Linked DNA regions of Diceros bicornis minor. The main gene of each other region encodes a partner of the protein of the gene in region 2 in a complex. Links are inferred from orthologs where the notes say so. Each region holds a gene or a part of one and is shown on either strand. Other genes may lie near its edges. The genes, in order: STK11, CAB39 and STRADA.

What was found.
Region 1: the proteins of CAB39 (region 2) and STK11 are in contact, whole or in part, in a crystal structure (PDB 2WTK), measured with the Homo sapiens proteins. The link is inferred for Diceros bicornis minor from reciprocal best matches to the Homo sapiens genes CAB39 and STK11. Residues at the interface, in NP_001124321.1 of Homo sapiens: Gln109, Gly111, Thr112, Lys196, Leu197, Leu238, Asp239, Arg240, His241, Phe243, Met246, Ile250, Val280, Ala283, Asn284, Pro285, Glu317, Gln318; in NP_000446.1 of Homo sapiens: Gln100, Arg103, Arg104, Glu165, His168, Ser169, Gly171, Leu201, His202, Pro203, Phe204, Ala205, Ala206, Asp207, Asp208, Phe234, Arg301, Ser307, Arg310, Lys311, Lys312.
Region 3: the proteins of CAB39 (region 2) and STRADA are in contact, whole or in part, in a crystal structure (PDB 3GNI), measured with the Homo sapiens proteins. The link is inferred for Diceros bicornis minor from reciprocal best matches to the Homo sapiens genes CAB39 and STRADA. Residues at the interface, in NP_001124321.1 of Homo sapiens: Leu26, Glu27, Lys28, Gln29, Tyr55, Gly56, Thr57, Asn58, Ala85, Asp86, Gln88, Leu89, Phe92, Glu93, Lys96, Arg107, Glu138, Leu141, Ile145, Ser176, Thr177, Phe178, Asp179, Ser182, Asp183, Glu221, Asn222, Tyr223, Val224, Arg227; in NP_001003787.1 of Homo sapiens: Pro64, Leu104, Glu105, Cys107, Ser108, Asn109, Val112, Gln116, Leu119, His120, Lys123, Leu124, Phe125, Asn126, Thr136, Phe137, Ile138, Asp140, Asn141, Leu143, Tyr185, Met189, His223, Gly224, Arg226, Val426, Asp427, Asp428, Trp429, Glu430.

What each region holds. Positions count from the first base shown.
Region 1 is NW_026691553.1:692,199-701,775, reverse strand, and holds the start of STK11 (serine/threonine-protein kinase STK11), read right to left. Parts: upstream 3,919-9,577; 5' UTR 3,198-3,918; coding exon 2,908-3,197; intron 1-2,907. UniProt on the Homo sapiens protein: Tumor suppressor serine/threonine-protein kinase that controls the activity of AMP-activated protein kinase (AMPK) family members, thereby playing a role in various processes such as cell metabolism, cell polarity, apoptosis and DNA damage response.
Region 2 is NC_080776.1:19,249,710-19,260,001, reverse strand, and holds the start of CAB39 (calcium-binding protein 39), read right to left. Parts: upstream 4,394-10,292; 5' UTR 4,144-4,393; intron 1-4,143. UniProt on the Homo sapiens protein: Component of a complex that binds and activates STK11/LKB1. In the complex, required to stabilize the interaction between CAB39/MO25 (CAB39/MO25alpha or CAB39L/MO25beta) and STK11/LKB1.
Region 3 is NC_080757.1:46,574,964-46,584,606, forward strand, and holds the start of STRADA (STE20-related kinase adapter protein alpha), read right to left. Parts: upstream 4,784-9,643; 5' UTR 4,681-4,783; exon of another isoform or gene 4,657-4,680; intron 4,651-4,656; exon of another isoform or gene 4,237-4,650; intron 1-4,236. UniProt on the Homo sapiens protein: Pseudokinase which, in complex with CAB39/MO25 (CAB39/MO25alpha or CAB39L/MO25beta), binds to and activates STK11/LKB1.

The DNA.
Region 1 (9,577 bases), on a different chromosome or scaffold from region 2:
TAGGGGAGTTTAGTTTTTCATTAAAAAGTGCTTGGATGGGTTAAGAAAACACATTAAAAACAGACTCAAAGGAGATGTGCTGAGATGCGTCGGTATTAAGGTTACGGGTGACCTTTTTTTCAAGTGAGGGGGACAAGCGCAGGCCCACGGCAGCCCCCCTGGCAGGAAACCAGGCGACAGGAGGGCACCCTGACCCGTCCTGCCACCTGGGCAAACAGCGCCCCTTAAGATAAAAGCTTCCCGTTGGAACTGGAGGACTCCTGAGGCTTGTGGGGAAGGTTCTGGACACTTCACACCAGAGAGGCGACTGGAATTGAGTTTATTAAGCCTCTCGCAGACAAAGGAGGCTTTTTTCCCTGCAGGCGGCTGGCAGCAAGGCCGGCCCAGGAGACGGGATCTCGGGCCTGGGAGCGGACACCCCTGCCTGCGCCCGAGAGCCTCCAGTCCAGAGCGCTTCGGTGGGACTTGGGACAAGGGATGTGGCGCCCGTGGAGCAGGCATGTCCCCCGGCACGCAGCCCCCGAGGCACGGTGGGTTCTAATGCCCAGCTGCACAGCCGGCAGGTCCTGGTGCCAGACGCGAAGGCGGATGGACAGCACAGCTCGGGCCAGCCCTGCCCTGCCCTCCGAGGGAACCTCTGAAAGGCAGAGTCTCTGCACGTCCAGGGCTGAGCTGATGAAGTTCGGCACAGCGCCCTGCGGCTGTGACATCTTATGCTAATTGCCGGCCACTTGGTGACGGCCAACCACTCCGCCTCCCTGGCCTCGGTTTCCTCTCCAGCTCCCGATGGACACTGCACACCCATGTGTCCCCACAAGCTCTCGGGACCTCGGGTGACTGTTCAGGAAACCAGGGGCTGGGACACTGGCGCTCCGTGGCCCTGCAGCCAGGTCTGGTCATGTGCCCCGTGGAGCAGAAGGGAACTCCTCGGGGTGGTGAAGCGTCCTCTGACTTGACTTTGGGCGCGAGCGTTTCTGAAAACCAGCGTCTTGATCACACGCACACAAGGCCTTAGCAAAGGTGGGCACTTGCCCACCCTGACACCCCCCCCCAGGGACCCCTCAACTCTGCTGCCACCAGTTGCTGCCCCTGGCCGGGTTTACACACTGAAGCCCCAGGACGGCCAGCAGCTGGGCTCGGGTGCCTCCAGCCACACAGCCCAGTCGGAGCTGGGACCCGGCCCCCTGGACCAAACTCTGGGAGACCCTCCTACCGCAGGGCGCTGCTCCCGAGAGGCTGGGGCCTGGGGCACCACAGCACCAGAACACCCCCCGGACCCGGGCCGACTCCACCCTGGAGGGCTCGGCCAGGCAGGAAGAGACCAGCACCCTGTTCCCGGGACAGAACGGGGCACGAGGCCTACCAGGAGCCAGGACAAGGAGGGGCCCTGGAGAGCGGGAGGGGATCTGTTTCCAGAGTCAGCACCCAGAACGCAGGAGCTCACTGTCCCCCACCCGAAGCTGGGGTAAACCTGCTAGGCAGCCGCCTCACCCCCACGTGCTCCAGGCTTAACGAGAAGCCAGCAGTGGAGTGGGGATTTCTGACTGGGGTGAGGGGTCCCCCAGCCTGTCTCTCCCCAGATGCTGTGGCCCCCACCCAACCCCCACCTCACAGGTAAGAGACTGGCACAGGACTGACGGAGGGAGGGGCCGGGGGTGCCCGGCCACGCCTCCTCCCAGTGTCCACAGGCTGGGTCACAGAGACTGAGAAGACCTCACCCCAACACTGCCCACCGTGCCGGCCGACCCCAAAGAAGCCTACTGCTCCACCAAGCAAGGGGCACCGGCTCTGGAGCCCGTGCCAGCCCGGCTTCAGTTCTCGCTCCGACCCCAACACCAGCACCCCCAGGCTGTCCCAGAGCAGGAAAACAGCCAGCTCGCGGGCTGTGCAGACAGGCAGAGCGGGCCGGGCCGGGAAGGAGGCAGGTGAAAGCGGATCCGGGGGCAGCACTGCCCAGGACGGGCCTGGCAAGCTTGTGGACCGTCCAAGGTCATAAGTCAGCCCTGCCACCAGCCAGCCTGTTAGATAAGCCACTTCTTGGAAACCGGAGGCTGGGAGGGGAGCGTGCGCCAAGGGGCGGGGTGCACCGAGGCGGCAGCGATAAGGGGCCCCCTCCTGAAACTGGCAAGAGGGAAGGAGGCAAAGCTCCCCACCTCCGTCCTTGGGGCAACTCTTGCTCACAAACCCCAAACCTGCCGAGGTGCCTGGGGCAGACGGGCTCCAAAAATACTTGTTTAAAAAGTTTGCTGGACACAAGCCTGTTCCCCTCTGGGGGAGGGGGGAGTCCCCGGGGCCTGCAGTCACAGACACGTCCAGTGTCACCACCCAGGCCGGCAAGAAAGGGCTAAGTTGCCCCCTGCTGACTGATAAGCCGGTGCAAACAATCACTTGGCCACCGCAGGGCTCCCCTCCGACAGGATCAACAAAGCGTGTTGGCCTGGCCCCAGCGCCGGCCGCACGCTGCGCCCAAGACCTGCCGGCGGCCCTGGCGGTTTCTGAGCACACGCTCTCAGGGCCAAACACTGGCTGCTTGCACCGGGCACCCGAGTGCTCCGGACAGCTGGGAGGGTCGGGGGGAGAGGGGCGCGCCCCCTTCGGAGGAGGGCTTGGACATCCGCCCCCCAACAGACTGACAGGCGGACGCCCCGCAGCAACAACCTGTCCCGACTTTCTGAAAGTACTTAAGCGGGTTTCCAAACATGCTCTTCCTGGCAGGGAGGACTCGGGAGCTGGCTGGTCAGCTCAGGTTTTTAAGGAAGGGGAGGACGGAAGGAAGGGAGAGAGGGAAGAGGGAGGGAGAAAGGAAAGAAAAAAGGAAGGAAGGAAGGGAAGGAGGGAGGGAGGGAGGGAGGGCGGGCGACCAAAGTCCCCGGCTGGCGGCGCCCGACCCAGGAAGCCCAAACTTACTTCTTCACGTTGGCCTCCCCATTGGGGATCCTCCGCAACTTCTTCTTCTTAAGGATCTTGACGGCCCTCCTGCACAGCGTCTCCGAGTCCAGCACCTCCTTCACCTTGCCGTACGACCCCTCCCCGAGCAGGTCCCCCATCAGGTACTTGCCGATGACCTTGGCCCGCTTGCGGCGGGGCTGGTAGATGACCTCGGTGGAGTCGATGCGGTGGATGAACGTGTCCATGCCCACGGACATCAGCTCGCCCTCCGTAAATATGCCCAGCTGCTGCGGGTCCGCCGCATCCATCCTGGACCCCGGGCCTCCGACTCCGGCCGGCAGCCCTGACGCCCCTTACTGTAGTCCCGGGTGAGCGGTTCTTCCTTTCGTTCCCCCCAAAATTCCCTTCTCCGGAAAAAAAGTCAACAAAAACGCAAAAAAAGAAATAAAAAAAAACCCTTCCTCGAAAAGAAACGATTGTACGAGACGAGAGTTCGAGAGGCGCGCCTGGTCCGGGGCGCGGGCGCCGACGGTGCGGGGCGGCGAGTGCGGGTGCCGTCGGGCCTCGCAGCTCCGGGTCGTTGGGGCGCGTCCACGGGGGCCCTCGGGGCGCTGAAGTGCTAGGTCATCCTCCAGGGACTTCAGACCCTCGGACCAACGCGGCGGCCGCAGAGCCGGGTCTCCACCGGGCCGTCCATTACCGGCGGGCCAGGGCGCGCGCCGGGGCCCCGCGGCGGCCGGCCGGTCCCGGGACCCCGAGGCTGGGCGGACGAGCTGGGCCGGGGCCGGGGCGCGGTGTTGGGGGGTCTCCGCCGTCCCGGGCGCCCCAGACGCCGGCAGGTGCCTATCCGGACAGCGCGGGGGGCGCCTCCGTCCGGCCCGGTGCGCTCTCGCCGGCCCCGGGCGCGCGTCGGGGGTCCGGGGGGCTGCCCGGGGCCCTCGCGCCGCGGGGAGCAACTTCCGTCGGATCCGGCTGCCCCTGGGGCGCCCCCACACCTGCCGGGGACCCCCGAGAGGCCGCGCGCGCCCGGCGGGCGCCCCCCGCCCCAAACGGCAGCCCGCGCTCGCTCTGCGCCCCGAACGCCGTCGGCCGCGGTCCTCGGGGCGCGGGGGACCCGCGGGGCTCCGGGGGGCCGAGGCGGCGCAGGCCGCAGGCCCCGGGCCGGGGGTTCCCGAGGCCGCCGGGGCACGGGCGGCGCGTCCCCCCGCCGCAGTCGCCGCGCGCGTGAAGCAGGCGGGGCGGCGCGGGGGCCCAGCCCATGCAAGGCGGCCGCAGTCCGGCCGCCCCGCCGCCGCTGCCGCCCGCCCCTCGCCTCACTCGCGGGCGCCCCGGGCCGCCTCCCCCTTCCGCGCCCGACACGCCGCCGCCATCTTGTTTACCTCCCGCCCCCGCCCTGCGCCGCCGCGCCGCCGCACGCCCGCCGCGGGGCCCGCCCCTCGCGGCGCCGACGTGCCCGCCCGTTGGCTGAGCCGGCAGGCCCCGCCCCCGCGGGCTGCCCTGTCGCCGCCGCCGATTGGGCCATTTGGACCCGGGGGGAGGGCGAGCGGGGATTGGCCCGCGTGCGGCCCCGCCCCAGGGGTGGATACGGCTCGCTCATTGGCCCGCCGAAGCGCCTGTCACGCGGAGGGGGCGGGAAGGGAGCGTGGGGAGGCGAGGCCGCGGGGTTGACCTCGGAGGGGTTTGAGGCTGGGGTCGAAGGTCGTGAGTGCTAACGGCCTCCTCGGAACGGCCAGGGAGTGGGCACCGCCCTCGTGGGCCGGGATGCGGCTCTGGGACCTTTGGGGGTGACTGCTAGGGCCCCTCGTCCGAAAGCCCCCTGGAGGCGAGGTCAAGGGTCAAAAAGTAGCCCAAAGTGGCCAATGGGAGGCAAAAAGCCATCACTAGGCATCAATGGGGCTGGAGGGCGAGAGAGGTGCTCTGGACGGTCTCTACCCTAAAGAACTCAGGAGCCAAAGCTCAGAACAGAGCGGGGGCGGTGCCAGCCAAGTGCTTTGGGTGGAAAACACAAAGAATTGGCACAATACTGCTCCATGAAGTTGAAAGTACCTCCCATACCTGAATTTTCTGCCTTTCTGCTTTTTAGCACTAGATTATTCTTTTGTCAGAGCAAACCGCTTGTCTTGAGTAAAGCTCTTGTTTCACAAATAGCCAAAAAGTGGAAGCATTGGGGCTCAGGGCTGGGGGTTCTGAACCCGAGACCTGTGAACTCCCTAAAACTGCACGAAATTGAGCGTGCCCATATGCATGTTGTTCCGGACATCCATGAGATTCACAAATGACCCGTAGAAGGGGATTGGTGTGGCTCTGAGGAGACAGGGCACAAGCCACAGCAGCAGACCAGCAAGCCCTAATAAAAATGTGTGGATTAGCCCCAAATTCCTTTCGAGAAGGAATTCATAAAGATCAGAGCAGCAACACATGAAATAGAATAGAAAAAGAATAAAGAAAATCGATGAAACCAATGATTGTTCTTTGAAAAGATCAAAAAAATTGGTAAAAGTCTACCCAGATTGACCAAGGAAAAAAGATGACACAGGGGCCGGCCCGGTGGTGCAAGTGGTTAAGTGCGCGTGCTCCGCTGCGGCGGCCTGCGGTTCACCAGTTCAGATCCCGGGCGCACACCGAGGCACTGCTTGGCAAGCCATGCTGTGGTGGCGTCCCATATAAGGTAGAGGAAGATGGGCACGGATGTTAGCTCAGGGGTAGTCTTCCTCAGCCAAAAGAGGAGGATTGGCAGATGTTAGCTCAGGGCTGGTCTTCCTCAAAAAAAAAAAAAAAAGGTGACACAGGTGAGAAATGAAAGAAGGGATGTCACTACAGACCCTACAGATAGCAAAAGGATTAGATACTGGGAATAACTCTATGCCCATGAATTCAACATCGTAGTTGAAACGGACCAATACCTTGAAAAACACTGAGATAGAAGCTCACTCAAGAAGAAATAGATCATCTGCATAGTCTTATGTCTATTCAAGAGATTAAATCTGTACTGAAAAACCTTTCCACAAAGACAATTAAGGCCCAGATATCTCGTTGGTGAATTTCCACCAAACATTTCAGGAAGAAATAACATCCGTTCTAAAAAATCTGGCCTGGAAGCAGAAGAGGAGGGAACACTGCCCAACTTAAATTCCTTTCGGTATCCTCTGTGTTTTTGAGTGCTGCCTTAAACTGAAATTTCTTGGAAGCTGGGGGTGTGTTTGACAATCTTGGCCCATGTAGGCCCTGCTCTCCTTCGCGGAGCCCACACCCCTCTCCCGATGTGCAGGAGACATGGAAGGAACTTGGGAAATGTTTGGTGACTGTTGCAGAAAGAATTCGTGAAGGTGAAATCTCGCCTCAGATGCCACCTCCTCCGAGAAGCCCTCCTGGTGATTCCCTGGAACGCTTGTCACCTTCAGAAATTTTCTCATTTATATATTTCATTATCTGTTTTTATTCTGTCTCTGGCACTAGACTGGAAGCTCTTGGGGGCCGGGGTCGGTTTCTCGTGGTCACTGCTGCATCCTCAGCAATGAGAGCTGTGCCGTCCAGTACAGCAGCCGCTGTTCACATGTGCCTATTAAGCTCTTGTGATATGGCTGCCAAAATTGAGATGTTGTGAGTGTAAACTACACACTGGATTTTGAAGGCTTAGCATGAGAAAAAATACATATAATATCTCAATAATTTACATTGATTGCACGTTGAAATGATATAATTGGATGTGTTAGGTTAAAAAAAAATGTTATTAAAATTAACCACTTCATATCCACTAGGAAGGCCACGATCAAAAAAATGGGCGATGACAAGTATTGGCAAGCATGTGGAGAAACGGGAACTCTCATACAGATGGTGCAGCCACTTTCGAAAAAAATTCAGAAGGTTAAACATAGTGTTACCGTATGGCCCAGCAATTCCACTCCTCGGTATATGCCCAAGAGAAACGGAAACTCACATCCACACAAAAGCTTGTACACAAATGTTCACGGCACCTTGATTCACAGCAGCCAAAAAGTGGAGACAACCCAAATGTCCATCAACGGATGATGGATACACACAACGTGTCCATCCACACACTGGAGTATTACTCAGCCATGAAGAGGAGTGAGGCCCTGACACAGCCACACCGTGGATGGACCTTGATCACACGATGCTCAGTGAGAGAACCAGACACAGAGGGACACGCGGTGTGTGTTTCCACTGATGTGAAATGTCCAGAACAGGCACATCCACAGACAGAAAGTGGGTTTGTGGTTGCCAGGGGCTGGGGAGGGGGTGGAGAGTGACTGCTAGGGAGTACAGAGCTGTTTTTTGGGGTGATGGAATGTTCTAAAGTCCTCCCTCCGTCCCCCTCACAGGTGAGCCGACTGAGGCTTGCAGAAAGGAAGCCACCTGCCCAGGTCCCTGGTGGAGCTGCGTGCCCAGCCTGGGAGCCCCAGCAGCCTTGCGAGGATTCTAGCACCGTCTGCTCAGCGTGATGGGGGTCTCGGAGCTGTTCAGCTGTCCTGCTTACGTAAAAGTTCCTAGCAAGCATCAAACCCAGGGCAGGCCAACACGGAACCAGATTTAAGAGCCCTTCCCAGCATCACAGGGCCTGAGACCCCCGTGGGGGCTGCTCTAAGCCTCTCCAGGGACCCTCTCTCGGCCCCAGCCCTTTGCCCGGCGGAAGTCCTCAGTTGGGGGGTCTTGGCCTCTCACTTTCCGTTTCTCTGAGTGGGGGTTAACAATACCATATGTCATCAGATGGAAGACGCTGTGGCAGTGACATGTTCTGTGACCTTAGGAACCACCACGGAGAGAAGACTCGGAGACAGCGATGACGCTCCCGACTGAAAGAGGCAGCCTGACCTCTGGGGGGGCAAACTGTGACGAATGGGAACGGTAGTAGCAGGAACAGACGAAGGTTATGAGTACCTGTGGTCGCCCTGGGAAAATCCTTTCTCTGCATTCTCCCATCCTCACCCTCCCGCAGGTTTTGTTAAGAGCCCCGAGTGACAGGTGGGACCCCAGGTTAGAGGTGGGGTCTCAGGTTGCCGTTGAGGGGCCCCAGCTTATAGGAGGGGGCCTCAAGTTACAAGTGGGGGGCCCCAAGTTATAGCGGGGAGCTCAGGCTACAGGTGGGGGACCTTGTTATAGATGGGGGCATCTTACAAGTGGGGGGCCCCGGGCCATAGGTGAGGGCTCCAGGTTATAGGAAGGGGTTCCAGGTAATAACAGGGGGCCCCAAGTAATGGGTAGGGACCCCATATTATAGATGGATTATAAATGGGGGCCTTAGGTTATAGGTAGGAGCCCCAGGTGACCGGTGGGGGCCCCATGTTATATGTGGGAGTCCACCAGCCCCTCCTGGGCTCAGGCCTTGCCTCTGCCCACTTCTCCTCTACCCTCTGTCCCTCACCCCTCTCATTTCTCCTGCCCACTCATGACCCCCACACACAGACATTCGTGCCCAGTGGCCCCCAGACCCACTCGTCCCTCATAGCTCCCCCTCCCTGACCCTCTCACTTCCCCAGCTCTGACGCCAAGACCCCCTCCCCCCTGAGGACAGAGGAAGCCAACGGGCCTCCTGTCCACTCTCTTGGCCGGCCGCCCCATCCTGGATCTCCTCCAACTCTGTGGGTCTCTTACAAGTCGGGTCCCTGATCCCAGGACCACCCTCTCCAAGGGCCCAACTCAGCCCCTGACCCGAGGAGCGGGGCCCCCAGGAGCCAGAGGGGGTCCTTCCAAAGCCAGGTCGGCCCCCCACCCTGGGAATCCAGCCATCCAGCCATGGCTGCAGGTTAGGATGCGGCCCGGGAGAGGCCAGTGCGTGTGGACCTCTGTGGCCGCCAGGGGGCGGGCGGGGATAGTGGCCGAGACTCCTGGAGGGGGGTGTGTGTGTGTGTGGGTGTGTGGGTGTGTGGGTGTGTGTCTGGGTGTGTGTGTGAGATGCTCGGGACCACAGAGTTTGAAGCCCACACACGATCCCTTGGGGCAGTGACACCAGATCATCACTGTTGTCACCCCTTGTTGGGCCTCGTCACACACGTCATCGCAGATAGAGCAGGGAGGCCCGGACTCACACACCAGAGTCACCCATCCTTCACTCTAGACCAGATCCTCCCTTGGCACTGCTGACCTCGGGGCTGGGTCACTCTCTGTGGGGGCCGTGCTGGGCACTGTGGGGGGTTGAGCAGCATCCCTGGCCCCACCACTCGATGCCGGGAGACCCCCCAGTCGTGACAATCACAGATGTCCCCAGACATGGCCCAGTGTCCCCTGGATTGCCTGGGTTGGGAATCCTTGCTTTAGAAACACACTCTGAAGTATTTATGGATGAAAGCACGTGACTCCTAGGATTTTGCTTCAAAACATTCCTGGGGGTGATGTGCCAGCTGAAGCATTTGGGAGAAAGTGTCCTGACATGGCCCCTGGTGTTTTATTTTTAAGTAAGGTGTAGCAGGTTGAATGGTGGCCCCCAAATCAATGCCCACGTCAAAATCCCTAGAACCCGTCACTGGGTCCTCACTTGGAAAGAGGGTCTTGGCAGATGTCACCAAGTTAAGGATCTTGAGACGAGCTCATCCTGGATTACTTACGTGGGCCCTGAAACCAGTGAGAAGCATCCTCATAAGAGACACGCCGGGGAAATTTGATGGAGAGGGGAGACCGCCATGGAGAGATGGAGTGATGGAGTGACCGCAGAGATGGAGTGACGTGGCCACAA
Region 2 (10,292 bases):
CTTGTGCCTAAATACAGCTGATATACAATCTACTGTGGAGGGAGAGAACAGCGACTAACATGTTAACAGTACCCTGTAAAAGAGCAAGCTACAGTCCGTTAGACAAAGTTATAAAGTTGCAACTTAATTAAGACCAAGCTACAAAATGTATATTTTGTTTCTCAAACATTTTATCCAAACAATCAAAGTGCTGTGATGTTTTAACATCATCATACTTCCTTGTCATCAAATTTATCTGCTGTATAATGCTCCCAAGGAATAATTATCATGTAAAATCAGACTGCCACTAAATATTGGTTAAGTAGATTTTCTCAATCTTTGTAACTATGCATGTGAAAATGCATATATACATATAAATAAGCAAACACAAATCTACAACTTAAACACTGTATTGTGAGTATCAAAATCTCAAGTTACACACAACGTAGTAAGGATTGTGCAAATAGGTATGTGCTGGACAATGCCAGAGGAAACGGCCAGGGCAGGCTTTACCTCCCTCCTCTGAGGCCACTTCACACCTGACTGACCTCTTGCAATTCTCTGAATGCCATTCTTCCTTCCTCTGCCAGCTTAACATCACAGTTGCTAATCAACCACAATTCTGCCGTGCTCTCACCCCTTCTATCTCAAGCGAAAAGTTAAAAGCACGGTGGGGCCAGGAAGCTCAGTGAGATAGAAATGGCACATCAGAGGACAACACACACGTGCACATGCACACACACCACAAAACAGAATTCTGATGGCAACCAGCTGTTAACTTTAATTTCACCACCATCAGTATATATCATCTGCCACCCAGCCCTGTATTAACTCTTCCCACAATCCTTGGAAGGCCTGAGAAACAGAAGCAGAACAAACATTTAGCGCTTACTCCCAGACGGGTCTACTTTACAAATGCTGGTGGTAGAAATATTTGCCTCACTTTGCTCTACCCCACACTCCAGACTGATAAAGGCAGCGATTAGGGTCCAGTTGGATAGTCATTAGAGTGGTGAGACACCCAAAGCTCAATTCCTTCTTTAATTAAGGATGGCTCCAACACGAGTCTTCTCTCCAATAAAAACAAAATATACACTGATGACTAAATGTTATGCAATTTTTAGACTACCTGGCTTGATCTGCATTCACACAAATACAAGATCTTTACACCTCAATAATTAAATAACAAAACGAGTCACAAGCAACCTAACCCAGAGGTTCAGAGATTTGATCTTCTTTCCCACGATTTTATCACACAACATTTTGCCAATATCCATACTAATCCACCTATCACATTCCTATTTCTGTAACACCAGACAACATCCATAAAATCAAATTCCTAATTAAAAGGAGCCATGGAAAAGAGGAAAATAGATTTTTGAAATAGAAACAACACCAGAAAAGTAACCAGAAGACACTACCTGAAATGAAATTCGGCCCTATATTGGATTTTATTTTTGCATGGTGTTGGGGGGGTGGAGGCGGGGGGGGGGGGCACGATCCGGATGTATGTCTGTATTTTTATGACAGATGGCAAAACTGTGAATGATCAGTGATCAATCCCTCCTGGAAAAAAGGCAGTGATGATAGAAATCTATAACCTACAAAAGTTGATCAAAAGAAAACACTTTAGTAAATATTCAAAAGTAATAAACGATGCTTTGTGGTATACATACTTGCAATATACAAATAAAGATTTAAATAAAACCAAATTATAAAACCAAACCCCATACTTAAACTGGACTTTCTTAGCTATTCTTTTATATTAACTTTATGAAAATTTATACAGTCTAACTCAGCTTCTCACTTTATACGCCATTAGAAAGAGAAACAGAGACCTCATTAATACATTTTAAAATGTAAAGCACCAGGGAAAAAACTGGTTTAAACAAAAACCTGCAATCTGAAATGCTAATGAACTAATAATGAAATGCTAGTGAACTGCTTTGAATCAAAAAACATAAAAGCCCCTTTTGTTATAGCAGCAAATTATTTCATGATAAATTCTATATTTTACTAAAGAAATACCAATAGAAAAACTAAATACATCTAGCCTGAATCTTTGTGATGTCATGATCAAAAAGTGGATGGCCCTAGCATAAAGACTATTTTTTTCGGGGGGGGGGGTGAAAAGGGAAAGTGAGGTGCATTACTGTATGGGAGATTATACCAGCTATGAAAGTAATCTTTTTATAATGCCTTTTTAAAAGTACATCCACTCATATAGCAGAGATGTGAGATCTCTCCCATACCTGATGACAGCACGCACCCCTAGTAATAAAACCTTTCTCTAGTCAACAAGCAATAGGACTCAAATCTTACAAAGAAGTTAATAAATACACTTCAAACAAGAAGCCTTTATAACAAGTTCTGTCCACAGTAGCAGTTATTAAGCATGACTACTGCATTTTATCTGAGGTAAATAATGCAACCTTGTCCAAAAAAAATAATACATTTAAGACTTCCCTTACTTGAGTAAAAATATTTTTATATGAAGACATTTAATGACCAAAAAAGAAAAGCTTAATAAAAGTTTTTTACACATATGCAGTTTATTTCATCATGTAAAGAAAAAAAAGACTGAAAAGGAAACCAACAAACGTTCTAAGCTGCTCCCATAAATCATATACCCTAGACTTCAAATACAGCTGCTAATTATTTGCTACTAATTAGAAAAAATGTACAAAATAAAGCTAAAGACTCACTTCTGGCTCTCCTATAAATATTTTCATAACTAAAAACTCCAAGAAATTTTTACCTTTCTATAAAAGGGTTCTATGTCCAATTTTCAATCTCAGATTAGTAACAATCTGATTTCTTAAAATCATCAATTTAGATTGGTTTACACAAAGGCCATCTCAAAGAAGTTATGTTCAGCTCAGTAATCCTGAAGTGTAGACACCTAATACACAGCGCAAGAAGTTTTGGTGCATTTTAGTGAACTGCACCAACAGAAACGCCTCATGCGCACACGAGCTTATTTTATTCACATCTTTCCATTAACTCTTAAGAGCCTAACATCTAATGAAGCTTTTTGCAAAAGGTACTTTGCTTAGTCTGGACATGGATTTATTTGAATATCCGGGAAGCTGTCAAAATCGATCTCAAAGTGCATTATATTCAAGGCACAGAACGTCAACTCCTTCCTGGGCTCCTCTCTTTTCTTTCACAAGAGCGCCTTTAACATCCCCTAGCTTACATTTCCGGACTCATGAGTCACTCAGAAACGAGCTCTAAGTTTCCCTCAGAATGGCACTCAAACAGCTCCTCTACAGCATTCAAGGATCTGGCCCCCAAATACCTCTTTAGCCCATCCCCACTCCCCCACCACGGCCCTAGGCAACAAACTGAATTATTCACTATTGCTAGACTACGTCTTTTTACCTTTGTCCTCTAGCTTTGCTGCCCCTCCACACATCGTCTCTTCTGCAACCCTCCTCTCCCAAATCCCATGGGGCCTTCAAGACCCTGCTTGGCACCGCCTCGCCCAGGAAGCCTTCCAGATTTCTGCTGGGCGGAAGTGATCGATGGGTCGTGTCTTCCCTGGGTGCCTTCCTAGCACCTTGCAGTTCTTTCACGGGACTTATCACCTCCTTCCTGGTATCGTATTATTTGTGTGCTACTCCTCTTATCTCCCACACCAGAGCGGTAGCTCCTCGGGGGAGGGGACCGCGGGCCCCGCTTCACCTTTGAATCCCTCGGGCGCGGACCGACCGGGGCGCCAGCACGCAGTCGGCGCTCGAGGTGGCTCAACCGAACTCGGGGACGCTCCGGCCGCGCCGTTCCCGACCGGAAATCGGTTAGGCATTTTCCCGAAACGAGGATCACAGAGATGCGATCTGCCTCCCGGGAACAGGAAGTTGCCCCGGGGCCGGGAGCGGGGCGGCCGGGCCTGGGTGCGGTAGGAGTGACAGCTGGCCCGGCCCGCACGTCCCTGCCCTCCCGAAGCCGGCCGGGGACGCCCCCGCGCCGCGCGGAGCCCCGGCCGCAGGCCCCCGGGCGCCGCGCCGGCGAGGGCAGGGGAGGCTGCGGAGGGGCCCGGGCCGCCGGGCAGGGCAGGCCCGAGAAAATGGAGGCACCCCGGGGCCGGTGACGGGCCGGGCAGGGCAGGGCAGGCGGAAGCCGGGCAGCGTCCGCGCCGCGAGCAGGGCCGGGGTCACTCACGGGGCTCGGCCGGGCGGCTCCCTCTCCGCCTCCGCGTCGTCGCCGTCCCCGTCCTCGGCCGCCGCCGCCTCGGGCTGCGCGCTCGGTCCCCGCGGCGCGGCTCGGGCGCTCGGCCCCTCCGTCGTCTTCCGCCCGCTCCTGCTCCGGGCGACGGGCTCCCGCGGCGGCGGCGGCGGCTGCGCGGGCGGACGGCGGCCCAGGGGCTCCCGCGAGGGCCGCCGCACTGCTGCTCGCGCTCGCGCGCTCGGGCTGCGGCTGCGCCTGCTGCTGCGGGGCCCGGCGCCGCCTTAGCCCCCTCGCCTTCCCCGGCTCCTGGACGCTCGGTCTCCCCCAGGCCGCGCCGCTCCCCGCTCGCGGCCCGAGCCCGGCTTTGACGTGCGCACTGCGCAGCCGCCGAGGGCGCGACGTCGGGCGGCGCCGCAACGCCCCCCTCGGCCTCGGGCGCCCCCGGGCGGCCGGGCGGACTCAGCGCCGGAGTCCGCGCCCAGGCCCAAGCGAGAGCGGACGCAGAGAAAAGCAGAAGCCAGGGCGAGAGTTCCTCTTCTGTCATCTGCCTCTTAAATGTCGGTGCTCAGCCCTTTCTCGTCTGTCTAAGCACTCGTCCTGGCGGAATCCCTCGCCCGCTTTCTACGACCACTTCCTCAACTCTTAACAAAGCTTTATTTCTGCTAAAGGCCAGGAGCTGACTTGGTGTAGACGACTGTTTCGTACTTTCGATGGACTTAACTCTCACTTGAGCATCCTCTGTAGCATCCTCTCCTGCGTGGAAAGTGATGGAATGATCCAGATTAATAGGACTCAACAGCCTGGATTTAAGTCCCAGCTCCAGGGGCCGGCCCGTGGCTTAGCGGTTAAGTGAGCGCGCTCCGCTACTGGCGGCCCTGGTTCGGATCCCGGGCGCGCACGGTCGCACCGCACCGCTTGTCTGGCCATGCTGAGGCCGCATCCCACACACAGCAACTAGAAGGATGTGCAACTATGACATACAACTATCTACTGGGGCTTTGGGGAGGAAAACGGAAAAAAAGGAGAAGGATTGGTAATAGATGTTAGCTCAGAGTCGGTCTTCCTCAGCAAAAAAGAGGAGGATAGACATGGATGTTAGCTCAGGGCTGATCTTCCTCACACACTCACAAAAATAACAGCTGAAGAAATAAAACATATGTTATTTAAAAAAATAAATAAATCCCAGCTCCATCATTTAGTATCCATGGCCTATTTCATGTCCCTGTGCCCGGGTTCCTTCACACACACGCAAGTGTAATAATAATAGAGCACCATAGGCTTATGAGAATGAAGGAGATAATGCATTGCAAGGCTCTGACAAGAGACTGGTACATAAAAATGCCATACATGTATATTTTTGTTTCTTTGTTTTTAATTGGTAATTGAACAGGTATTTTCAGTATCCACTGTGTGCCAGGCACTATTCTAGGTGGTGGGGCAGTGAACGAAACTGTCCCTGCTCCTGAGACAACCAACTAAACAAACCAATACACATTATGATACTGGATGGTCTTAAGTGCGATGGAGAAAAACAACACAGGCTAAGGAGGGGAGAGAGTGCAGGGTATCTATTTATAGTCCTCCCACAGGGAGCAGCTACAACAAGAAAGAGCATGCTGAGAGCTGCGTGCGTGGAAAGGCAGAGGGAACAGCAAGGACCAAGCTTTTGAGGTGGGAATGTGCTGTGGAAGCTTGAGGGGCGCAGTGGAGCGCATCAAGGCGAGAGCACTGAGTGAGGGGAGCCGGTAGAGATGGGGTGAGGGGTGTGGGTAGCGTATAGACGAAAGTGAAGACTTTGGTTTTTACTCTGAACGAGATGGGAAGCTATTTGGAGGGTTTTGAGCAGAGAAAGGATGTGGTCTGACATTTCAAAAGGATCACGCTGCTCCTGGTGTGAAGACCAGCCTGAAGGGCCTGAGGGTTTCAGCTGGGAGACCAGTTTGAAGGCTTTTGAAACAATCCTGTCAAGAGAAGACAGGTTTGGTCTAGGGTGGTAGTCGTGGAGGTGTAAAGAAGCGGTCAGGTGCTAGACACATTTCAAAGGTAGAGCTGACAGGATTTTGCTGATTTCTAAGTTTTTTTTTGTTTTTGGGTTTTTTGCCCTAGCAACTGGAAGATACAATTTGGTGAAGTGGGGAAGACAAACAGAAACAGATGTGAAGGGAGGAACTGGGGAATTTATTTGGGGGCATATCAAGTTTGAGCTGCCTGTTAGACACCCAAGTAAGAAGCTGGATCTAGAAGTCTGGGGTTTGAAGGGGAGGTCCAGGCTGAAGAGAGAATTTCGAGAGGCTTCAGAATAGGTAAAATCTCAGGACTCAATGAGATCATTTAAGAGAAAGAGTGTTAATACAGGGCAAGGCCAAGGACGAGGCCGAGGCCCCCGACACTGAGAGGTCAGGGAGATGACAAGGAACCAGCGAAGGATTCTGAGCAGAGGGTGGCAGAAGGAGACCCAGGAGAGCATCGTGTGCTGGGCGACCAGGGATGGAGCATGGATCAGTGCCACGATTGCGGCTGTAATGCAAGGAAGGTTGATGTTGGTGTCAGCACCACAGAGGTAACCAGTGGTGTGGGGAAAAGCTATTTCAGCAGGGATGGGTAGGAAAGCCTGATTGGAGTGATCTCTAGAAAGAATGAGACCTAGAAAGATCTCTAGAAAGGATGGGGCTCTAGAAAGAGACACCACGAGTGTAGACAACTTTTTCTTGAAGTTTTGCTCTACAGGGGAGCACAGAAATGGGATGGTAGCTGGAGGGGAATGTGGGGTCAAAGCTGATTTTTTTGTTTTATTTCGTTTTGTTTTGCTTTTAGGATGGGAGCTATTACAGCCGGCTTAAGTGCTGATGGGAATGATTCAGTAGTGAGAGAAAATTTGATGATGCAGGTGGGGGGGCATTTTCTGGGGAGCTGTCCTTGAGTGAGCAAGAAAAGGTTGCCGCGCACAGCGGAAGGGCTGGCCTTGGATACCAGCAAGGCGGCGTCCACTCACAGTAATAGAGGGCAGGCAGAGTGTAGGCACAGAGGCAGGCAGCCAGCTGGACAAGGCGCTGGCACATGTGGATGTTCCCTTCTGAAGGCTTCTGTTTTCTCAGGGAAATAGAAAGCAAGGTCATCAGCTCCTCGTGTGGAGGGTGGGGAGGTGTCAGAAGTTTGAGGGGAGAGGAGATGTGAAGAAGGACCAGTCAGAGGGGTTATTCTGTGTTTTTCTGTTGGCCACGTTTTGCTGGGAAGGTGCAGGCACAGGAAGGTGGGGAGTTGGATGCAACCAGGGTTATTTCTGCTAGATAACTCCATGGAGAGAGAAAGGGGAAAGGAAGGCGAGGGTTATATACAGGAAGTAATAATAATAATGACCAACTGTTGAGTCCAAGCCAGTAAGGAGGGAGTGAGAAAATGCAGATGAGTATGGGGGCAGTAGGAGGGGAGACACCCTGTAAAAGTGATAGGATCAATGGAATGAAACGTGTGTGAAAGGATTGTTAGAATCAGCACCGTAGGGAGAATGAGCTGGAAAGGAGGAGGTGCTAGCTGAGAGCCGGGTTGCTTACACTGAGATTACGGAAGGAGCAGTGTACAGTAATGACAAGATCTGGGGCGTCTTCTCAAACGGTAATGTCCATATGCGTTACCAGGGGTCTTGTTGAAATGCAGATGTCGATTCCATTGGTTCAGGGGAGGGCCCATGATTCTGCATTTCTAACAAGTTGGGAGTCGGATGGGATGCTGATAATTCTTATTCTTGTTACGGCCATGATACCAAAGCCTCAATAAATACAACACACACAAAAAGAAAGCTAGACTAATCTTGCTAGAGAATATATATGAAAAACCTAAATAAAAAGTATGAAATAGAAGTAAAATAACAGCGTGTTAAAAGTGAAGTCCATCCCAATCAAGGACAATTTATCTCAGGCAGAAGCCATTAGAAAAACATAGCTGTCTAGGGACTGTTTCGGCTCGGAGGGAAATCAGCTGAAAAATCCCTAGCAGGCTGGTTCGTGGAGCTTCTCTTCGCTTCTCTCTAGAAACTGTGGAAGGGAGGGAGGTGCACCACCCTCTCCAGTGAGCCGACTGCAAGTTTTATCTAATTTGAAACTTTGTTCAATAAGACTTCACTCCCACGGCTTTTTTTTTTTTTTTAATTGTAGTCCCAAGGGGAGGCCTTTATTGGGCTGATATTCCACAAAAACAAGTCAGGACCTAATTTCTCACAGAATAAAAGAACGCGTGGAAGTGGATAATCCTATATGCAGGAGTTTGAGTCCTTTGCTTTAAGGGTCAGAGCAGGATTCCAGGTTAATCTCTTCACTGGGATAAGCCCACTACAGTTGAGAATTGTGGCAGCCAATTTCTGGAGAGGGATTTGTAACAAATTCCGAAGCCAAAGTGGAAGGAGCCATGTCATTTGCCCGCTTGAATTTACACTGGGAAGACACCTTCTCAATCCTTCCACTGAGCTCTCTGGAAAGCCCTTTCTATTAATATATTTCTTTGTAGGTACAACCTCTTTCTGGGAAATTCCACCACCTCTTCATCTTGAAACCCTCTCCAGAGGCCCCTCACTCTCCTGTGCAGTGTCTGCAGAGCTCAGGTTCATAAGGCAGGGTCGTTATTATCCTGGAGTCAGTGTTGATCCTGTCAATCCTGTAACTCTTCCCTCACTTTCATTTCCTTTCCTCTCCTCCGATGAAGCTGGGCCCTCAGTGAAGGCACCTCCCTGCCTTAATCACACCATCTATGAAAGGACTTTGGAGCCTGACTCATGGCTTCCTTGCTTACCCCACCCCGTATCTGACGTCTCCTGGGCAACGCAGATGCCACTCATCCAATACGTTGGGTCATAATTCCCTCGTATTCTCTGCTCCAGTGACCTTCACTTCCATTCCTCTTCAACAGCCACTTGGTTAGCCCCACCCTGGTCTCGGCCATCACCACGACTCTCCCTTTGAAGCTTGAACTCTGTGACTCTCGTGTTTAACTGCTCCTCCCATCCACCCACCCTTCCCACTCCCTCATACCCACCAAACCTGCTCTAAATCTCACTGAAACTTTGTTTATTCAACAAATACTACTTGAGAGCCCATAATGACTGGACACAAGCAGTGGGGATGAGACACTGAACAATACATGGACCCTGATCTCAATGAGTTTGTAGTCCAGGAGAGACACACCAGTTGACAGGCAATTACAGAAGAGTGAGACATGAAGCATGAATAAGATTTAGCCTATTAAAGATGGGGGTAAACATTCAAGGAAAATCATGTGAATAGCACCAAAAGCAGAAGGCACAGTGAATTTGGGGAGGTGCATATGATGGCTCAGTATATAGAATTTAGAGTTTGGGGAATGGAATTATTTTTTATTGCTATTTTTTTTCCAGCTGTATTGAGATATTATTGACATATAAGGAAGTTTAAGGTGTATGATGTGGTGATTAGATCCATGTACATATTGCAAAATGATTACCACGATAAGGTTAGTTAACACCTTCATCCCCTCACATAAATTATGATTCGTGTGTGTGTGTGTGTGTGTGGTGATAACATTTAATATCTACTCTCTTAATAACTTTCAAGTACACAATGCGGTATTGTTAATGATAGTTGGCATGCTGTACATTAGACCCCCAGATCTTATTTATCTCATAGCTGGGAGTTTGTACCCTTTGACCAACATCTCTCCATTTCTCCCACCTGAAGCCCCTCGCAACCACCATTCTACTCTCTATTTCTATGAGATTGGCTTTTCCTGCATATAAGTGAAAACATACAGTATTTGTCTTTCTCTATCTGACTTATTCTACTTAGCAGAATGTCCTTAAGGTCACAAATGGCAGGATTTGAGGAGGGGAGTTGGTACCAGATAATGTTGGAGAGATAAGCAAAGGTCCAATAATGAAGAGCCGTATCATCCACGTTTAGGAGACTGGGTTTCAACACCCCCAAGGCAGTGGGGGTAGGTTGAGTGGAGTGGGCATTGAAACTTTAAACCATGGAATGACAAGCTCAGATGCGTGCTTTAGCTTTAGAAACAGCGCTCTGATCCTGTGTGCACTGTGGATGGGAAGAAGATCAGATTAGGGGAAGTGAGACCAGCAGGAGGTTATTCTCATTCTGGCAAGAGATAATGGGGCTGAGCTA
Region 3 (9,643 bases), on a different chromosome or scaffold from region 2:
TTTTGAAGAATCTAGAAAAAACCTACCACATTGCCTCTTTTTTTTTTTTTTTTAAGATAGGCTGGAGTTGTGAGGGGTTGTGGTAGTGGTATAGCAACGGGGGTGGGGAATTCATTTCGTACACAGAGTTTTAGGAATCCTTAGTACTGCTTCAGAGAAATCAAAGCAATGGTGTTCAATCCAGGGGAGAGACGAGGCCTTTCAAAATCATCTATAGATTTTTATCAAATTGCCTTTGTTCTCACCCCTACCCTGATCTTCTTATAGAAGCCCCCCTACCATGCGGAGGATCATTTGTCCTGCCATGAAATAGTAAAAATGTAGATTGAATTTGAAAAAACAGATTATTAGAATGCACATTGTTTAATAACATTAAACAAAGCCTCATGCAAAAGAAACTCAAGAAGAAACAAAGTCGACATCCATCTGTAGTCTACAACAGAAAGAAAAGAGAATATTAACGTAGATAGAGATGCAGGTGTTTTCATCCACAGAAAGAATTGTCCATGCTCTGGAAAAATAATGGAAATAGAAAATAAAGTCAATTCCAAAGCACTGTATAAACTAATATAACTGCCCATTTGGAGACCTAAGAACTGGTTCTAGACTGCCACATCAACAGCTTCATTAATGATCTGAACCATCGGTTCCCAAACCAGGATGTGTTTCAAATTAACTTGTGTATTTACAAAAACCTAAGGACGCCCAAACTGCCGCCTTCAAAAATTTTAATTCAGCAGGTCTGGGGAATGCACAAGTAGAAATGGGCAACTCCTTATGAAGTTCAGAAAAGGGAAAGATTACTATGAGCTGGGGTGGACCTGGATAGTTTTGTTGAAAGAGTGGGGCTTGAATGTCAAAAAGAACTTAAAGAAAATGAGAATTCCAAGCATGAAATAGTATTAGCTACTGATTATTTAGCGTTTACCTGCCTTGTCCACAGGTATATCTTTCGGTTTCTAGAATAGTGTCTACCACATAGTAGGCACTCAGTAATATTGACTGACTCACCAAATGTGCTGAGAAGGGTGTCAGCACTTTACATATACTCTCCAATTAATGTGAGGGCAGTTACAGAAGCAGAACTCTACACATACAAGAACCATGAATAGGCATTAAGTGCATGCTAGAGTATGGATTTTATTCACCAGGCAGTAGGAAGCAACTATAAGTTTTGAATAGAAAGGTGACAGACACAAAACACTGGTCTAAAGTAGTGTCTCTCAAACTTTACTGTGCATGCAAATCACTTGAGGATCTTGTTAAAATGCAAATTTTGATTCAGAAGGTCTGGAGTGGGGCCTGGTAATTCGTTTTTTTTTTTTTTTTTGAGGAAGACTGGCCCTGCACTAACATCTGTTGCCAATCTTCCTCTTTTTCCTCTCCAAAGCCCCAGTACATAGTTGTGTATTATAGCTGTAGAATTGTAGCTCTTCTATATGGGATGCCACCTCAGCATGGCTTGATGAGTGGTGAGTAGGTCCGCGCCCAGGATCCAAACGGGCAAACCCCGGGCCGCCAAAGTGGAACACACAAACTTAATTGCTATGCCACCAGGCCCGCCCTGAGCCTGGTAATTCTAACAAGCTCCCAGATGGTGGTACTGCTGCCGCTTTGAGGACTATCATATTGACTAACGTTTGAGAAGCCTTGTTCTAAGGAACATTCTAAGGAATACTAATCTGCAAAGGGATGGGAGACGGGGAGGTAAAAATAACCCAGAGAAAGGAATGCCAGTTAGAATACAATTATCGTGGACCATGTTTGTGGTGATATAGATGGATAGGGGAGAAGGAAAAATAAAGAAATTATATTTAGTTAGTAAGGACACCATAAATCTCCTAGCCCATCCTCCACCCTTTGGAGGAATAGCTTTTACCAACTCCTGGATATAAGGTTATCTAATCTCTGCTTGACAACTTCCCATGCCAGAGACTCACTACTCTATCAGAGAGCTCATTCTACCTGTGGACAATTCTGATGACTCCGATTTTTTTAATGTCCAAAGTAACTGGGAAAAGAGTAGTGTCTCAACGACAGAAACAGGAAAGCTCAGAGGTGGAAGTGGTTTTGGTGGAAAAATGAGTTCGAGTTTTTAAATCATATTGAGGTTGAGAAAACAGTTATATATCCCAAGTGGAAATACATAGCATTCAGTTAGAAAAGTAAGACTGATGCTTAAAAGAGAGGTTAGAGATGCCTATGTGGACTTGGGAGTTAGCAGCCAAAGCTATACGAATGACAGAAATTCACTAAAGGAGAAAATGGTGAGAGAAAAGCAGAAGGCTGGGAAGCAAGCCTCAGGATAGGTCCATATTTAGGACATGGCTCTTGAAAGGCAGGTAGGAAATGGAGCTCAAAGGAAAAACTTTAAAGATCCTCCTTCCCCTACTAGACCACCTTCCCTCCCCCAACTTGGTTAGTTTTTTTTTTAATAATTTTATTTATTTTTCTCCCCCAAAGCCCCAGTAGATAGTTGTATGTCATAGTTGCACATCCTTCTAGTTGCTGTATGTGGGACGCGGCCTCAGCATGGCCGGAGAAGCGGTGTGTCGGTGCGCGCCCAGGATCCGAACCCGGGCCACCAGCAGTGGAGTGCGCGCACTTAACCGCTAAGCCACGGCCCACAACCTGGTTAATTTTGACCTGTCCCTCTCTACTCATCTCAGATGTTCTGTGCTACAGAAATCCTCCCTCACCCCCCACCTCCCCACCCCCACCTATGTTAGATGTTCAGCCTCTGTATTCAATCCTTTCACCTACCACACTCTTAATCGCCTATTTATTGGTCTCCTTCCCTAGAATAGAGATCCCTTGAGGGCAGGGAATGCATCTTGTTCACTGTTGCATTCCCACGGGCTACTGAGCCCAACACATAATATGGGCACTCCTCTATCTGTTAAATTCATAATAGTAAAAATAATAAAAGCAGCCAGCGTTTATGGTGAACTATGTGCCAGGATCTGTGCTAAATGCTTCACAGAGATCAGCTCACAATAAGTATTATCGCCCCCATCTTACAGATTAAGAAATGGAGGCCCCACATGATTAAACGCCAAAGTTACAGAAGCAAGTGGTAGAGGACTGATTAGATCTGTTCCAAAGCCTGTGCTCTAGAAACCGGTGATAATCAAGAAGCCTAGGGAGAAGAGTCAAGGCTGTGTGTGCAAAAATATATGACTGAGAAGACATTACCTGATTTGACAATACTGCTAACCAGACGCCAAATGGTATAGAAAGGAGAATTCATTTACCTTGATTTTTTTCTTTTTTCTTATTTTTGCCACTGGTTTTCTAAACTTCCTCCATGTCTGGGGTTACAACTATAAACACTGCATTTGAACCTCAATACCTCTAATCAACTTGGTTAAAGGGTGGGGGAACAGATTTAACTAGTTCAGCACTGCAACTAATGGCTGAATAGGCTCTTGGCCTTAGGCAGATAATCAGAGGAAATTTGGTTTCTTCAACTTTCAGGGACAAGAAACAGTCTTGGGTGTCTCTAGAAAGTATGAATCAGTCAGTGAAGAACTGTCTTAATGCTGCAAATATATAATGAAATACAGTTCTACTTCAACAGATACTACAATAAAAAAAGGACCAATTCCAATGCTTTTCCTCTTTGGGGGAAGTGAAGTTAGAATATGCTAGGATATCTTAGAAGCCAGCTCTGGTGGTTTAATGGTTAAGATTGGGGGCTCTCACCAATGCAGCCCAGGGTTCATTTCCGGTCAGGGAACCACATCACCCATCTGTCAGCTGACATACTATGGCGATTGCGTGTTGCTGTTATGCTGAAAACTATATGGTACAGCAGGGTCACCCATGGTGAAGAGGCTGCAGGGGAGCTTCTAGACTAAGAGATACTAGGAAGAAGGACCTGGCGACCCACTTCTGAAAAAATTGACCATGAAAACCCTATGAATATCAACAGAGCATTGTCTGATACAGCACCAGAAGGTGAGAGGATGGCGCAAAAGACCTGGCAGGGTTCAGCTCTGCTGTACACAAGGTTGCCAGGAGTCTAATGGACCTGATGGCACTCACAACAAAGGATATCTTAGCACAGGGCAGAGAAGTTAGTTCCCCATTTCCCGAAAACTTTTATTTAACCACTCCCCCTCCCTCGTGCTCACTTCCCTACCCCTTATCCCCACCTTCACCCCAAATCTACTGTGAGCACTTAAACATTCTTGGAAACCAAGACAATTTGTTTGGGCTGATTCCGGGAGTCACCTGGATCTCTGTCCTTAACGGGGGCTTGACCTGCTGCCTGCCCAGCCCGGGATGAGATGGGGATGTGGTGGTGGTGCTGGGGAAGAGGTCAGCACTAGGATCTGCCGCCTCTTTGCTTGAGGAGGACAAACCGACACGTGGGCCCCAGGTTCCCCACCTAGAAGTCTGGGGGGAAGGAGGGAGGGAAAGCAGGCGCTCGTCTCTCCCGCCCGGCAACTCCGCTCCTGAGTCTCCCGGCCAGGCCCAAGCCTATTCTGCTCTCGGGCTGCAGCCCCTCACTGCGAGAATCGAGGAGGACTCGGGTGAAAAAGGGCCCGTGGAGGGCGACGGGGGACCCGAGAAGGCCGCTCTGACGAAGGCCCGCCCCTGAGGAGATGGAATCGGCGGCAGGGCAAGGAGGGACCGATCCCTGGAACACACCAGGCGGCCCCGCCGGCCCGGTACCTGGTCCTGGAGTCAGCAAACAATCCCGACCCCGTCTCAGCTCCGCCTCTTTAGTTTATGGCCGCGCCGCCGCCCGGCCAGTTGCTGGGAGGGAAGTACGCAACGTGCCATGCGCAGTACAGGGACCCAAGCGCGCGGGCAGAGAGCCCCTCCCCCCGCGGGCCCAGCGGCTGACGGAACTCCGCCCCGTTTCTCCTGGCCAGAGCGGCTGAGGGAGCCCCGCCCCACCCCGCCCCACCCCGCCCCCGCCCGACCAGCGGAAGAAGCCCCGCCCCGGCCCGGCCCCCGTGGGTGGGGAAGCTCCGCCCCGTCTCTCCGGGCCCTAGAGGGTGAGGAAGCTCCGCCCGGTCTCTCCCAGCCGGCGCTGCTGAGGAAGCTCCGCCCGGTGTCCGCGTTGCCGCGGCGCGGGGAGGCCCCCAGCAGTGGACCCGCGGAGAGCGGTTCAACGGTTCTGAGTTCTCTCATTGCGTGAAGCGCGTACCTGAGGGCATTCCGTCTCCCAACAGAAGGGACCCATTTCCCCAAGTGTGTGGAAGCCAAAAACCTAGCTTGTCGTCGGTGCGGCCTGCGGGGTCCCAAACAGGCTCCCCAGAGCCTCCGCCCGCGCAGCAGGAAGGAAGTAGGAAGATTTCAATACTGAGGAGTCAGGGGGACTAGAGAAAGGCAAACCAACACTGGCTGCTGACTTGGCTACTTTGAGGATTTTGTTTTTGTTTTTATTTCGTGTGGTAGGACTTCAATGGAAAATTGAATGTCTCGCATTTTTCTTTGAAGACATCTCAAATGCTCCTCACTTTGGCCTCTTGGGCACCAGACTGACAAGCTGCAAAGGGGAAACCCAACCTTTCTCTGTGCCTCAGTTTCCTTATCTGTAAAAGGAAGAAAATGGCTCATCTAATGGGAACTATCATTTTTTTCCCTTCTGGATCTTTTTGTCCCTGGATCCTTCCTCATCCACAACTCTGAGAGACATGTTCTGTTTGCAGAAACCTATAAGGTTTGCTTTTATGGAGAAGCTAGCCTAAACCAAGGCATGCAGGGCTTGAGAAATGAAGAAATTATGGAGCAAGACTCCCTTCTGTGAGGCTGCGTTTTTTCAGTTACTCTACCCACGGTGCGGGGGAGAGGGGTGTCCAACATTGGATAAATATCATCAAGTAATGAACACTCACTCGTCCCAGCTCTGACCCTTGACACGGATTTATACTGGTCTAACTTCCACAATGGGGGAGAAGTTCGGCTACATCCAAACAGGGAGTGATGCAAATATGACGCTGAAACAATATGAACTTTGCCAGTGCACGAATATGCACCTCAGGGTCTCATTCAATTTTACATACATCCTTTTGATCTTATCTAGTGCTTTAACATTCCAAAGCACTACCCTCACTATTCTTTCATTCTCAAAATAAGATGCCTCTCTCAGCAGCAAACTTAGTAAACTGACAAAGCAAGATAGTAACAGAAACTGAAGTAAAATTCTTGGTGGTGTTCTTTGGAAAAGACCTTCACAGACGGTCTTTGGAATTGAGGGTACTAGAGAAGATAGTGCCTGAAAAGATGCCAAACTTCATGCAGTCATCACAATGTGGAATTGAAACATGGAGGTACTTTCCATTTATTTTAATATCTAGCCCTAGCCCAGAGCTATGTCATTTTCTAATTGGATGTCAGTTGGCCAAGGGAGCTAAAAGATCTCACCTTCTTCATGACTGCCCACAAAAGCTGGTTAGTGAACCTTTTGGCCCAGACTCTGTTGTGACTGTTTCAAGGAGCAAATGTTCATTAGCTTTATTTTTCCTGCAAAAGGGCCTCCTAAATCCAGATAACTTAGAAAACTGGTGTAATGAAAAGTCAACTTTCAAAGTTTACAAAGTCAGTCTTTTCCGGCTTTGCTTTTTTGACTGAACCCTGGGATGCACAAGCTCCCTAAAGTTTTTCACTTACTTATAATAAGTGTTGGGACTCTCCAAGATTTCTGGAGCTTTTTGCAACTGGCTTGAAGCCTAGAGGAATGGAGATGAACTGAAGATCCTGGCTGTTTTGTTTTTAACTCTGAGCATCCAGTTTGAGCATCCAGTTTAAACTAAGTGCTGCCCTCTTCAAGATACCGCATAAATTAACTGTGAGCAACGTAAAACTAATTGCCTAATGAATGGATAAAGAAGATGTGGTGTATATATACAATGGAATACTATTCAGCCATGAAAAAGATGAAATCTTGCCATTTCTGACAACATGGATGGACCTTGAGGGTATTATACTAAGTGAAATAAGTCAGACAAGGAAAAATACCGTATGATTTCACTCATATGTGGAATATAAAAAACAAAATAAACAAAACAAAACAAAAACTCATAGAAACAGACAACAGATTGGTGGTTACCAGTAGGGAAAGGGGTTGAGGGAAGGGCGAAATGGGTAAAGGGGTCAATTATATGGTCACAGATGGAAACTACACTTTTGGGGTGAGCATGCTGTAGTATATACAGATGTCAAATTATAATGTTGTACACCTGAACCCTATACAATGTTATAATCAATGTTACCTCAAATATATATATATATATACACACACACACACACACACAAATACTGTTCACCATAACGCCATAGAGTGCAAAGACAAACCAGAGTAGAAGATACTTACCATACATAAATCTCACAAAGGATTTGCATTCATAATATATATATTTTAGAACCTCCTACAACTCAATAACAAAAAGACAACCCAACAAAAAAAAATGAGCCAAAGACTTGGTATACATGACACAAGGAGGAAATTCTAATGGCTGGGAAACTATGACAAGATGTTCACCATCCTTAGTCATTGGGAAAATGCAAATGAAAACCACATGAGACCCCACTGCACACCCATCAGGATGGCTAAAATTAAAAAGGCCAACAATATCAAATGTTGTTGAGACATCCTGTTCTTCCTGGAACAACAGGAACCCACATTCTTTGTTGGTGGCAAGGCAAAAAGCTATTTGAAAAATTGTTTCTATGAAAGCCCTTTGCAATTCCACTCCTAGGTACACATGCATCCACCAAAAGACACGGAATACTGAACAGCAGTGAAAATGAACCAGCTGCAATTATACACAAAAATACATGCCTCTCATATAATGTTGAGTGAAAGAAGCCAGATGCAAAGGACTATATACTGTATGACTCCATTTATGTAAAGTACAAAACAACACAAAACTATGCTGATGGAAGTAAAGACAGTAGTTTGGGGTGAGGAGCTAATGGCTGAGAGGGAGCACAAGAGATCATCCTGGGGCACTAGAGATGTTTTCAATCTTCAGCTCCGTGGTAGGCACAGAGGTGTATAAGAATGTAAAACTTCAATGAGTGTGCAGCTAATATTTGTGCCCTTTACTTTATGTAAGTGATACCTTAATAAAAAGTTAAAAAAAAAAAACAAAACTAATTGCCCAGAATACTTGAGAGATAAAAATGCATAGATGTGTAGTTTAACAAGTTGAGCAGGATTTTTTAGAGCATTTTATATATCAAAGTACTTTATACATGTTATCTAATATGATCCTCTGAACAGCCATTTTAGAAAGGGGAGAGAAGATAATGCCCACTTACAGATGAGGAAATAGACTTATTAAAGCACTAGGACAGCACCTAGGTCCCTGCCCACAAATCCAGGGCTCTTTCCTGAAGCAGAAAACTGGCTTCAATTGCAGCTTTGTTACACCCTTGCTAAGTAATACAGTTACATGTAAGAAAAATATGCAGAAGAGCTATTTAAGCATTTAAGTTTAAAATGTGATAGGAAAGCAGTTAAGAGTTCTCCCTCAAGCAAAGGTGATACAACAAATAACCTAGGCAGATGTCATATTATCTGATTTTGAAATAACTCCCATGGAACTAAATACTTAAAAAGGCTTGGGTGTCTTTTAAATAAGCAAAAGTTACACCATTTGGATAAAACCAAATAGGTGAAATTAAAGAGGACAGTTAATTTTAAAAGATGAAAATAAAATGAATAATATCCATTAAAAGCAGTATAGTAGTAGACACAAGTTTCTGTCTTTCAGGAAAAAAAACTGGTTTTCTTCTGAAATTGGTATTACTTAGTTCATGGAGCTGAGATGGCATTCAACTTGTGCAAAGACAAAAACATTATACTTCCTTCCATATGCAAATAAGTGTTTTGCTCATCATCAAACTCCAGAAACCGAGAAAAGTAATACTTTTTGCTACTGTTTTAGCAGTCTGCAATAGAAGACACTGCTATGGGTATAACTGTCTCCTCCCCCTTACATCCTTGCAAATCGTTCAGAATGAGCAGAGGCAGGAACAGTAAGAAAACAGAATCTGAGATGATAAAGTACAGTTTTCACCCCTCCCACCAAAACCAAAGGATCCTTGTACAACACTGCTCTAAATAATTTTCATATTGCCAATTCCTATTGGATGGGTGGAATGAGAATTCCAATCACTGTTTTCCTGTGGTCTAAGTCCCATCCAAAGAAAAGAGTTTCACATCTGGTGCTTGACAGGGAAAAGTTTTCTATTACTAAGCAAACAGAGTAGTAAACTATCCCTCCCCGCCACCTCCCGCCTCCAAATACCATCAAATTTTGCAGATAAAGTTAGAGAACTCTGAAAGGACCTGCTTGGTTTCCACTGGGAGAAAGGGAAGCAAGAGAGTCAAGCAAAAATGCACCACTTGGAGAACAGTTCTAGATGATACCTTACATTTTTTTTTTTTTTTTGGTGAGAAGGACTAGCCCTGAGCTAACATCCAATGCGAATCCTCCCCTTTTTTCTTGAGGAAGATTGGCCCTGAGCTAACATCCGTGCTCATCTTCCTCTACTTTATATGAGACACCGCCACAGCATGGCTTGCCAAGCGGTGCGTTGGTGCGCGCCCGGGATCCGAACCTACGAACCCCGGACCGCCAAGGTGGAGCGCGCCCACTCAACCGCTTGCGCCACCGGG